Linked DNA regions of Chlamydomonas reinhardtii. The protein of the gene in region 1 interacts with the protein of each later gene in a pairwise test. Links are inferred from orthologs where the notes say so. Each region holds a gene or a part of one and is shown in the gene's direction. Other genes may lie near its edges. The genes, in order: CHLRE_15g637100v5, CHLRE_17g698800v5 and CHLRE_11g469450v5.

The links.
Region 2: the proteins of CHLRE_15g637100v5 (region 1) and CHLRE_17g698800v5 interact in binary tests that used the Arabidopsis thaliana proteins (3 or more experiments, as listed by UniProt). The link is inferred for Chlamydomonas reinhardtii from reciprocal best matches to the Arabidopsis thaliana genes DSK2 and TED3.
Region 3: the proteins of CHLRE_15g637100v5 (region 1) and CHLRE_11g469450v5 interact in binary tests that used the Arabidopsis thaliana proteins (3 or more experiments, as listed by UniProt). The link is inferred for Chlamydomonas reinhardtii from reciprocal best matches to the Arabidopsis thaliana genes DSK2 and RPN13.

What each region holds. Positions count from the first base shown.
Region 1 is NC_057018.1:535,834-538,942, reverse strand, and holds part of CHLRE_15g637100v5 (uncharacterized protein), read left to right. Parts: coding exon 1-28; intron 29-310; coding exon 311-373; intron 374-917; coding exon 918-1,022; intron 1,023-1,342; coding exon 1,343-1,462; intron 1,463-1,648; coding exon 1,649-1,978; intron 1,979-2,262; coding exon 2,263-2,343; intron 2,344-2,572; coding exon 2,573-2,704; intron 2,705-2,893; coding exon 2,894-3,109. UniProt on the Arabidopsis thaliana protein: Binds and presumably selects ubiquitin-conjugates for destruction. Prefers multiubiquitin chains rather than single ubiquitins, with a binding affinity for 'Lys-48'-linked ubiquitin chains.
Region 2 is NC_057020.1:398,584-402,868, reverse strand, and holds the start of CHLRE_17g698800v5 (uncharacterized protein), read left to right. Parts: upstream 1-1,461; 5' UTR 1,462-1,833; coding exon 1,834-1,979; intron 1,980-2,266; coding exon 2,267-2,408; intron 2,409-2,793; coding exon 2,794-2,829; intron 2,830-3,013; coding exon 3,014-3,064; intron 3,065-3,278; coding exon 3,279-3,386; intron 3,387-3,551; coding exon 3,552-3,805; intron 3,806-4,048; coding exon 4,049-4,142; intron 4,143-4,285. Other genes in the region: CHLRE_17g698850v5 (uncharacterized protein), read right to left, coding at 354-763, 1,064-1,087. UniProt on the Arabidopsis thaliana protein: E3 ubiquitin-protein ligase component of a retrotranslocation channel required for peroxisome organization by mediating export of the PEX5 receptor from peroxisomes to the cytosol, thereby promoting PEX5 recycling.
Region 3 is NC_057014.1:2,128,326-2,132,370, forward strand, and holds the start of CHLRE_11g469450v5 (uncharacterized protein), read left to right. Parts: upstream 1-1,230; 5' UTR 1,231-1,432; coding exon 1,433-1,531; intron 1,532-1,633; coding exon 1,634-1,744; intron 1,745-2,050; coding exon 2,051-2,115; intron 2,116-2,416; coding exon 2,417-2,490; intron 2,491-2,873; coding exon 2,874-2,982; intron 2,983-3,297; coding exon 3,298-3,400; intron 3,401-3,745; coding exon 3,746-3,877; intron 3,878-4,045. Other genes in the region: CHLRE_11g469400v5 (uncharacterized protein), read right to left, coding at 215-922.

The sequences.
Region 1 (3,109 bases):
GCGCGAGCTCATGGAGCGAAACCCCGAGGTGGGCAGAGTATTTCCCAGCACAAAGGTTTTAGGTACCCGCGTGGGTACTCGCAGCTCCCATATTTTGCATTGCTGTGTTCCCGTGTCAATTTCCCCAAATTATGTTGTCCGCACCCGGTATTGGATAGTAGTACCCGGGTTTTGGAAAACACTGGTGGGCACTCGCTGTACGCGTTGCGATGCCTTGAACTTGGGCCTCAACGCATGGCCCTGACCTGTGTGTCCGTGTCCTACATGATTAGAAATAATTTTATATTTTCCCTTGTGTCGTTCCCAACAGATTGGGCAAGTCCTGAACGACCCCGCCACGCTGCGGGAAATGATGCGGATCGCGTCCAACCCGGTGGGTGGCCGTATGGTTGCGTTGCGTGGGTGTGCCAGGGTGACCGGTATTGGCGTGGGTGACGGGTTGGTGTGGGTGACGGGTGTCCGGTGGCGTGTGTGTGCCGCGGCCCCGGACCTGCGCGCGAGAGGCGTATGTGTACCGTAAATTTGTGATAATCAGGGAAGGCATCGTGTGATGGCGCGTGTGTCCGGGGTGTGCATGTGTGTGTCAGGGTGCGCGGTTATATCGCTCCAAAACTGGCGAGCCGGGGCGGTGAGGTACGGGTGTTTGGGCGGTCTCTTTTATGAGCCATTCACATAACTTCTGGGTGTTCTCGTTCATGAAAGTTTGCGCGCCATTCAGGTTACTTCAACGGTTGTGCCCAAACCCAAACCGACTGTGCCTGTTAGGGCTCATGCCGCAAGCCCAGCCTGCCGCCACACAGCAAATCTGCGGAGGGCGGACTCACACCAGAACCCTTACATAACACCATTTACCAAAATTGTATTTCCTCTCATCTAACCGTATGCATACTATTATACGTTTTAATTAAAATTGTCAGGCTTTGATGCGCGAGCACATGCGCACCAGCGACCGCGCGCTGTCCAACATCGAGGCACTGCCCGAGGGCTTCAATGCCCTTCGCCGACTGCACGAGCAAATACAGGTGGGTTGGGTGGGAGGGTGGGTGCGAGGGTGGGCGGGAGGGTGGGTGCGAGGGTGGGTGGGTGGGTGGGTAGAAGCGTGGGCGGGAGCGTGGGTAGGAGGTTGGGCGGGAGGGTAGGGCGTGGTCGGGTTAGACAGCCGTGTCCAGCAGGGCTTCAGGGTACTGCTGCCCGCGGCAAACCCAGGCCCAGAACCCCTCTCATGCTATGTTTCTCGGAAGGCAAACAATCTGAACCCGGTCTCATGTCCTCTCTCATCCAATCAGTAGCCTCCTTGCCTCAATTTCATTTTGCTTCTTTTGCGCGCAACCCACAACAACAGGAACCGCTGATGAACGCTGCGACGGCGCCGCCGGGCGCTGACGGCGCCACCGCCACCTCCACCTCCGGGAGCGGCGCCTCTGCGGCTGGAGCCGACCCGCTTGCATCGCTGCTAGCACAGGTAGGGTGCACAGCGCGTGTTGGAATTTTGATACAGCGCATGTTCGGAATATGTTTTTAGCATTTTTGTACAGCGCTTCTTGGGAATTATTTAGCATTTATGTACTGGCAGTTTGGTAAATGGGGCGAGCTCTTGACCTGACCGCGCCCTTCCCCATGCCTTGCCTCATCCTCCCACACCTCACAGGCACTCTCCGGCGCTGGGTCAGGCGCGGGGGCTGGCGCCGCCGCCACTGGCACCACATCTGCCACTGCTTCAGGGACCGGTGGCGGCGGCGGCGACGGCACGGCATCCACAGCAGCAGCAGCCACGCCCAACAACGCGCCGCTTCCAAACCCCTGGGCTCCTGGCGGCGGCGGCGGCGCGCCTGGATCCGGAACCGGGTCCAGCGCCGGCGGGCTTCCAGGGGGCCTGGGGGCAGGCTTTCCCGGGCTCGGGGCGCTGGGGGGGCCGGGGGGCCCCGGCGGCGTGCCGGGTATGAACATGAACCCAGCCGAGGCGCTGTCCATGCTGCAGGTGCGTTAGATGTTCCGTTTCCATGTGCATGAGAGGGGCAGGGGAGCGGTTTGTTTTGGCGGAGCGCGAATCCGTTCATGCCCCCATTTGCCCCCGTCTTGCGCCCACCGTTCCTGGGGGCAGGGGGCCTCAATCCGTCTGCTAGCTACTAGCTAGCTCCCTCTCGCTTAGCAAAGCTCCCTCCCTCCACCGCGTTCTCATGACCTGTTTCTAACAACGCACCTCTTCCCCGCCCTCCATAACCAAACAAATGAAACAAATGTATTTGTGGGATCCATCCTCAGAACCCGCTGGTGCAGCAAATGATGGGCGCGCTGTCGTCCAACCCGCAGCTGATGGAGACCATGATCAACTCCAACCCCCAGGTGCGAGGGGGCGTGAGCGCGAGGGCGAGGCCGCGAGGGGCAACGAGCTTTGCGCGAGCGCTAGCAGGGGTCACGAGATGGGAAGCGCGGCAGCATCTGTGTGCCAATGTTTGCTCTCCTTTTGCTGCTTGGAATTTCTACTTAATATTTACAATACTTTACGATTTACAAACTTTGCTTAACTGTGCTTGTTTTGCCAAATTGCTGTTCGCGCCTTTTGGAAACGCAGCTCCGCGCGATGGCGGACGCCAACCCCATGATGCGCTCCATGCTGAGCGACCCGCACACGTTGCGGGCGATGATGGACCCGCGGCACATGGCGCAGATGATGCAGCTGATGCAGCAGATCGAGCAGATGCGGGTGAGAGTGAGAGGGAGAGCTATAGGATGAAGGGTATCTGGGGAGTGCCTTTGTCTTGGGTCTGCGCAATCCTCCCCGCAGGGCCCACACCTCTTGCTATCCTACCGCATGCCGAGAGCCTGACCAACCCCACCCTTGCCTCTCCCCTGCCTCTCCCCTCCCTCTCCTCTCTCCTCTCGACTCCCACAGGGCTCCAACCCGCTCTTTGCGCAGATGTTCGGAAACGCCATGGGCGGCATGGGCGCGCCTGGCGCCGCCCCTCCTGGCACCGCCGCCCCCGGCGCCGCCCCTCCCGGCACCGCTGCCCCTCCCGGCACCGGCGCAATGCCCGACATGGCGACCATGGCAGCCCTGCTCGGCGGCCTCGGCGGCGCTGGCACCGGCGCAGGCGCAGGCGCGGGTGCA
Region 2 (4,285 bases), on another chromosome or scaffold:
CAGTAGCATAGTAGACGCGTTGTTACCGATGTCCGTGGGGTGGGGAGGAGGTAGGAGGCGGGAGGCGGTGCGGAGTGGGGAATGCATAACGCCCCAGGTCTGGTGTGTCGTACCGAATCATCCTGAGCACCTGCCTAGACCCGGATGCTGGCCATCTTCCCCACCATCTTACTCACACAAGTTCGCTGGTGGGTTGTTATCACAACCACACATACAGAGAGACACAAACAAGCGCGCGCGCACGCTGCATTGTCCTGCGTACCTCCTTCCTTGCGCTCACTCATCCGCTTGCCCTGCGCCAATGACAGACCCCCGTGCCGCCAGCCCCCACACGGTGACTAGCACCCACCCACCAATGCAGCTGCAGCTCGGAAGGCGCGGCGTGCGGCGCGTTGGCATACGACGCCGTCACGCGCACGATGACCTTGCCGTCACGCGCCTCGCACGTGGCATCCACTACCGCGCCGGCCTTGCTGTGGCGGCGGTAGCGGGTGAGGCTGGTGTCCACAGCGCCGCGCTCCAGCGTGGCCGTTGCGCTGGCCTGCGGCACCCAGGAGGGAAGCTGCGAGAAGCCGGCGCGACCCATCGCGGGATGGGAGCTGGACAGGATGGAGGGCTGGCGGGGAGCACCAGGGGTGGCGAGGGGCGAGGGGCTGGGGGCTGCCGGCAAGTGGGGGACCGAGACCGGGTGGGCGAGGCTGGAGCAGACGGCGTGCCGCGGCGCAACACCCTTGCGCGGCCCGCGTATAAAACGCGCGGGCGCCTGCGCAGAGCGTGAATACACCAGTGTAGCAGTATAAGTGGCGCAGCGGTTCAGGGGATCGCGCGGCGCGCGCGCGAGTGAAGCCTAGATACTTTTGACGGCAGCCATCAGGGATGTATCTGTGCTTCTGTCGGCGCGCCCGCGCGCCCACATCATGCGTTGGTGGTCCGCTGAAGCCGGGTTAAAGCTACACTGCATCCACAATTGGCCTACTACGGCGACAGAGCGACACCCGCGCGCGAGCACCGCATGCAGGTGGACTGTCGGAAGACCTGCCCAAGTTGCCGGCGCTGTCCTTACCTGGACGTGTCCTTGTATCATCATGTGGACAGAAGCTCGTATATGCCCTTAATTACTTCAGCGCTACAGTCCAAGCGAACTCGCGACTTTTACCTTGCGCGCTTAGCAAGTTCACCCCGATCTAGGTAGGATTCTTGACCAGTAAGTTGGCTGCAGTCTAGAGCTAACGGTATCTCGTGCACTCGGCAGACTGAATGTGCCGGATGGTCGCGGCAATAGCAAAGAGGGAGACCGTAGTGCCTTTCCTAAAGGATCACAGGCATGAACTTGTTTCAGGTATGCCAGAACTTAGCAGCACGGGTCCCGCTTAGCTGAAGGATGGGGCAGACGACCGGGATGAGGCCCCATCGATGTGTCAGCCCGTCGGGCTCTGCCGCGAGTTGCTGTTGTCTTTATATGCTCATCATCAACACACCAACAGTCCTGTGCGCGACCTCGGCAAGGGCCGGGAGACCGCAGCTGAATGGCTTTTGACGTTTTGACAAAACCCAGCTTCCGTGATATCTATGGACTGTTCACGACTTGACATACCAAATAGGAGCCACATAGCGTCCGTGAAGCCCAAGAGCGGCGGTAGCGGCCGCGCTGATAATCCTCAACTCCCGCGACCTAGCGCACTACACTCTGCGGCGTCGCTTGCTTCACGAGAAACATTACTGTAGTGAGGGTTGTTATGTCTTTAAACCGGCTCTAGCCAGCGACAAGGCACGGCGCGGCTGGTGCTGACGAGTCACCCGGCGTGAACGTGTGCTGCCGCCGGCCGTGGTAGCATGACCGGGCAGGCAGCCGCTGCGGGGGCCCAGACGGTCGGCGGACTGGGCTGCGTCCCAGAAGCTCCGTCGGCGGATGCCTGGCAGGTGGCCGCGGCGCTGGTGGCGCCGCAGGTTGCGGCCTTGTCCACATCCATGCAAGGAGGGTGCGTGGTGCGGTCGCGGGTCCGCAGGAGGACACGGGTAGCCGCCTCGTGGCTATGGGGGCACGGGTGGCTGAGGTGCCGTGGTGCAAGGGCGGCTATGGGTGGAGTCATGGCTGTGATCCCTGTAGCAGCGCGCACTGCTCTCCAGGACACCGTGCACAGCATGCATCGCCCCGCCCCACCGGCTTGCAAGGGTGCCCCCCGTTCACCAGCTGATGCAGCTGCCCTTCTTGGCCCAGGGACGCCTCCCCCCATGTCCGTCCGCACTTGCCGCCCCTCTCGAGCAGGAGTGGCGCCAGTGGCGGCAGTGGCGGCGGCGCGGCGTTCCCGCAGCAGTCGCCGCTGCCTCCGCCGCCGTCGCTGCACGTGCTGCGCTCCTCGCAGGTGGATGCGCTGAGGCTGGACGCGGAGCTGGGCGGCATGCTGCAGGTGCGGGGTGTGGGTGCGGGTGGGGGTGCGGGTGGGGGTGCGGGTGCGGGTGCGGGTGTGGGTGCGGGTGCGGGTGGGGGTGGAGGTGGGGGAGTGGGTTCGGGTGCGGGTGTGGGTGCGGGTGCGCGGCCCGCTGGCAGCGCGGGGGACGTGTGTGGAGGGGTGCAAGGGAACGCAAGGCGCAGTGGGGGTAAATTTGAAGGGTATGAGACACCGGGTGGAGGCAAGGGCATGCAGCCCGGGTTGTCGTCGGCTGGGCGTGTGCAGGGTGCAGTCACTTGGCAGGGGCACGGGCACTGGCGGGCTCCTGCATCCGCCACGTATCCGCCTGGCCCAATCACGCCTATGACTGTGATGCGCATGCCATGCCACCAAATGTGCGCAGGAGCAAATGGTGAAGCTGTTCGACCACTTCAGGCCGGTGAGCGGGCATGTGTCGGCGGGTGTGGATAGGGCTATCCCACACACTGCCAGCAGCTAGGATATGGGGGACGGCCTGCAGGGTAGAAGCAGTAGGGCCTGCTTGGGTCGCTCAAAGCGGCGGTAAGTGGCGCACGCCGCTCGTCACGCGCCCCCCCCCCCGGCCTTCCCACGCACGAGTGCAGGGCCAGGCGGCGGCTCTGGAGCCGGAGGTGCGCGCCGTGCTGTCACTGCTGGTGAGACCGCCGGTCACTGCTTGAGTGCTTAGCGGACTCCGCGCCGGCGCCGTTGCATGTCACGCCACCTCCTTGCTTCACCACAGTAGTCGGCGGCGTGTGGTGTCTGTTAGCCCGGCCCCCCACTGCTGCACTGTGTCTGTGCTTGTGCACCACTGCCTGCTGAGGGCTGCTGCGGTTGTGTTGTGCCCCCTGCCGCCGCTGCCGCTGCCAGGTGTTTGGGCTGTCGGTGTGGGGCGGCGGCGGCACGGGCCGCGCCACGCCCGGCTCGGAGCTGCTCAACCTGAGGTACCGCAACGAGTGGGCCGTGGCCGCAGACAAGGTGGGGAGGGGGAGGGGGAGGGGGCGGCGCAGAGGGCGTGCGGGCCTGTGCGGGCTGGGGTCATTGCATACTGCGGTAGCCTGGCAGCTCCTTTCCCCGTCCCTGTGCCCACCCACGCGCCTACTGTCCACCACCCCATCCAGCCACAACCCACGCGCCCTGCAGGCCTGCGTTGGCCGCACGGGCGTGGAGGGGCCGGGCCTGAGCCGCGGCCAGCGACTGGGGCTGGGGCTGGGCACCGTGGCACTGCCGTACGCCTGGGCGAGGCTGTGTCGGGCGGCGCATGCCGGCGACTGGTCGGAGGCGGAGGAGGGCAGCTGGCGGCGGCGGGCGGCGGGAGCCATGCGCTGGGCGGAGGGCGCGGCGGCGGCGGCGGCGCTCGCCAACTCGTGGCTGTTCCTGGTGCGCGGCGACTACAGGTGCGGCGGGGATTGAGGGTCGCCACCGTGCGTGCAGAATGCTGGTGGCTGTTTGGTTTGGTGTGCTCGTTACGTGCGCTTTGCGTGCAAACTGCTTGTTGCGGTGCTGCGGCTGCGCCACCCCCCGGCACACCCACCCCGAACAATCGTTCATGACCCCAAACAACCGTTCATGTCCCGACCCACGGTCCAACGCACGGCCCAACGCACGGCCCCACGCACGGCCCGCACGTGCTCGCGCAGGACGCTGCTGGAGCGGCTGCTGGGCTGCCGGCTGGTGTGGCGGCAGGCGGCCATGAGCCGCATCATCAGCTTCGAGTACCTCAACAGGCAGCTGGTGAGGGGAGGGCGGGGTGGGGCGGGGAGGTGAGGCGGGGAGGCAGGGAGGGGAGGCAGGGAGGGGAGGCAGGGAGGGGAGGGAGGGAGGGAAGGAGGAGGCCTGGGAGAGGGGAAGCGTCGGAGACTTGGGTTGCGGCTCGG
Region 3 (4,045 bases), on another chromosome or scaffold:
TGGTTGACGGAGGATAAGGCATTAGGGTGGGAGAGGCATGCAGCCCAGCACAGGACGGCAACTCAAACAACAACACACTTAATCGTTTGCCTTGCCCCGGACCCACACTGCACAGCACGCAACCACGGAACCCCGTCTGCGACGGCCAAGACATCATCACCCTGGAAGCATCAAGCCGCCCAATCAAACCACAGCCCCCATCCGCACCTTGTTGTTAACAATTCTTGGCGGCATCCAGAATCTTATCGCGTTGCGATTTGACCACCACGCCCATTTTCCGAAGCGCGGCGTCGTCGAAGCCCTTCAGGTCCGACAGCGACACGCCCTGCTCCTTAAGCTTTTTCCCGAGGTAGTCGAGGCCGATGGACACGCAGAACGACTCCACGTCAGCGGCGGCCGGTCCGGCCGCCGCCGGCGGCGGCGGGGCCGCTGTGGGCGCAGGCGCCGGGGCCGGAGCCGCCGCGGGGGCGGGCGGTGGCAGGGCGGCAGCGGGCTTGGCTGCGGGCGCTGCCTTGCCCGGGCAGTGCTTCTCCACGATGTCCATGACCCTGCTGCGCTCATATGGCTTGAGCAGGATGTCCACAGCGCCATTCTTCAGGCAGCGGTCCAGCTCCGCTGAGTTGGCGGACATTGCGGTGCACATGACGATGGGCACGTTGAATCCCGCGAAGCGGCTGCGCAGGTTGGCCAGCACCGTTTCCCCGCTATCTCCGACCTCCAAGTTGTAGTCCAACAGCACGATATCAGGCCACTCCGGCTCGTTGTCGCACGCAGCGTACGCCTCTGAGCCATCGATTGCCGGCACGATATCCCAGCCCATCGGCTTTAGGACTGACTCAATGACCATAAGGTTAACGGAGTCATCGTCGACTGCGAGGACGCGCAGCTGGCCGTGCACGTCAAAGTGCAGCGGCTTCCCCATCCTCGCGTCTTCGCCCCTGCCTTATGACCAAACCAAGTCTAGAAGCAGTCAGACTAGATGATCGTCCCGTCCGTAGCCTGCAGAAAGCAGACCCCCTTCTGGAAGCAAGTCGCGTTTCGCGGGATACGGTTTGGCTCTCAAGGACTATGTGATAAATCCAGGGGCTTCTGTCTATTCACACCTCTCACCGGCAAGCTCAGGCCGGGCCAGAGGTGGACGCATGGACAAGATGAATCGTAGAACCACGGCGAGGTCGCTGCTCCGCGATGCAACGGTTGTCTTGAGTACAAGCATTCAATTCTATGCTCATTGGACCTGCACAAATACATGCTTAAGGACGGGAAACACAGTTGATCTGCCCGTTTTTGTGTTCAACACGGCTTTCTCGGTACACCTGCCTTGCGCTCCCTATACCACATAAAAGAACACGCGTGAAAGCGGCGCAACGCCGCGGACGAAGACTGCGGTGCGTCACCCGCGACCTTTCCACTTCACGTCCCAGCGGCAGCGATGGAGGCTCCGCTGGCTGAGTTCAAGGCGGGGAAACTCACACGTAGCGGCGCGACGCTGGCGCCAGACCCGCGCAAAGGCTTAGTTCGGCTGTGCCAGGCAAGTGTTCAGGGGGAAAATGGGCGTGCGCAGGGTGTGCCAGAAGAAGCCAAAGGCGCAGCGCGGCCGAAGAGCTCCATCCCCTGACCCCCCAAAACGCAGACGGAGGACACCCTGGTTCACGTGCAATGGTACGAGCGTACGGCGGAGGGTCGGGCCGCGGAGCCGGTGGATGACGTCATTGTGTTCCCAGGGGAGGCCATGCTGGAGAAGGTGCGCGGGGCTGTGGTGCTGCGTGCGTGTGCGTGGGGTGGGTCGGTGGGTAGGCGTTTTCATCTTTCCCAGCAAGCGACCAAAGAGACACGATGATATAACGACGGGGCTTTATTCCAGTCCAAGCCTGGGCTGCTGCTCGGCGTCGGGGGTGTTGGGGGGCCCGGGGGCCAGGGTACCGGTGGTGCTCACGCGGCGGCCAGCGCTCCCATGGAACCCCATGGCTGCTGCATGTCGCCAGCGCTGACGCGCCCGTGCCGTGTCGGATGACTCGGATCCCTATTCCTTCGTAACGCCGCCCGCCAGATCCCCGGCCAGCGCGCGGTGGTGCTCAAGTTCCCCGAGGACAAAGAGCGCAACATGTTCTTCTGGTGGGTGGTGCGGGGAGGTGGGTGGTGCCCGAGCAGAGGTGGGACAGGGAGAGGGAGAGGGAGATAGGGTGGGGGAGGGAGGCAAGCTAGTTGACGGCATTAAGCTCATGGGATGGGTCCACCGTTTATTCACCCCGACGGAGTAGCCCCGGTGGTTATCGAGTTGCCCACAATGGATGGGCGGGAGCACGGTCATGGAACTCGGGGCAGCACTTGCAGTCACATACGCCCACACGCCCACACGCTCTGTGTATACAGCCTCGCTTGTGTTATGGATGCTCTCTGCCCACAACCCGCACAGGCTGCAGGAGGGCGGGGCCGCGGAGGATGACGAGGCGCTTGTGGCGGCATTCAACACAGCCCTGCACCAACCAGGTGGGCAGCGGTTTGGGTGCTTGAGTGGGGTGGGAGCGAGCTGGGAGGGGAACAGGCAGGAGGAGGATGCTCTATACCAAGCGCAAGGGGGCGCGCGTCGATAGGGCAGGCAGGGCGGGGGGAGGCAGGGAGCGGGGCGGAGAGGAAGGCAGGAAGGACAGCGGGGCGGCGAGGATGCAGGGAGGGAGCTCCAAAGGCGGCCTGACGACGGGGAACGCCGAAGGGAGGTACGGTATGGATGCGGGTCGCAAAGACACTTGGGTGCCTGCATATACCAAGGCAGAACCGGTCCAGTGGCAGCAAGAGGCAAGCAGCGGCAGATAGCAGCCACTTGCCACCCCGCTACTTGCGGCAATTGCAAATGCTTTGTGCGCCACGCGCAGAGGAGGCGGCGGCCGCGGCGCTGACGGCTGCGGCGGCCTCTGCGGCGGCGGCCGTGACGGCCACCGGCGTGACGGCTTCTGACGCTCTGGAGCACGCCCACATGTCCACGTGAGTGCGCGGACACACAAGCGGTGGCACCATGTTGGGTTGTGAACGGGCGGTGCGAGACCCGCAGGCCCTACCGCTGGGCCATGCCTGTTCAGCAATGCCCTGCATGGGTGAGGATATCATCACCGCTCAGCATGCTCACGAGCGGCCGTGAGACAAAGGAGGCGGCAATTACCGCTGCGGTGTGTGCGCAATTGCGTGACGCATATGTTGGCGTCTGCACTGCCATCAGCATGCGTTCTTACATGTAGATTGACATTTTACTTCTGGTGCCATCGCGGCCGTCGCGCTGGCCTTTCTGTCTGCGCCCCGCAGCTCGCCGGGTGCAGGTGTGATGATGGGGCAGGGCAGCAGTGTGGGGCAGATGCCGGCGGCTCCGGCGCAGACACCTGGCAGCACCGCCGCCGTGAACGCGCAGGTCCGTGCGTGCGTGCGTACATGCGTACTTCTTGCAAACGGTGCTGTGCTGTGCGATGTTGTGCGATGCTGTGCGATGCTGTGCGGTGCGGTGCTCGCATTGTTTGGCATGGTGGTGGCCTCATCACAGCCAGCCATGGGGCGCGTGCCAGTCCCATGACCCTTCAACACTTCCACCCACCGAGTCGCGGTCAAGACTGCTTTCCCATTCGCCCGTTTACCCACCCCTTCGCACCCCTTACCCTTCGCCTCGCATATGTACGGCTGACCCCGTGCGGCTCTTACCCCACGCTGCTGATCCCACGCTGCTGATCCCACGCGGCCACCCCGTGCGGCTGCCCTGCAGGCCACCAACCTAGCTGCCATTCTGGGCAACGCCCTGGCCGCCAGCCTGGGGGGCGGCGCCGCCCCGGCCTACTCCGGCGGCGGCGAGGAGCAGCTGGCGCACAGCCTGCTTGCGCAGCTGGCGGCAGCACAGGTGGCGGGGCGGGGCGGGGCGGGGTGGATGGGATGGGATGGATGCACGAGTCGCTTCGGGCGAGCCATGGGGAGCCATGGGGAGCCATGGCCGCACGGGGGTTCGTGCGATGGCTGGGTCAATTGCACGTGCCAGCTGCTTGTGTGCGTGTGTTTGTGAGTGCATGAC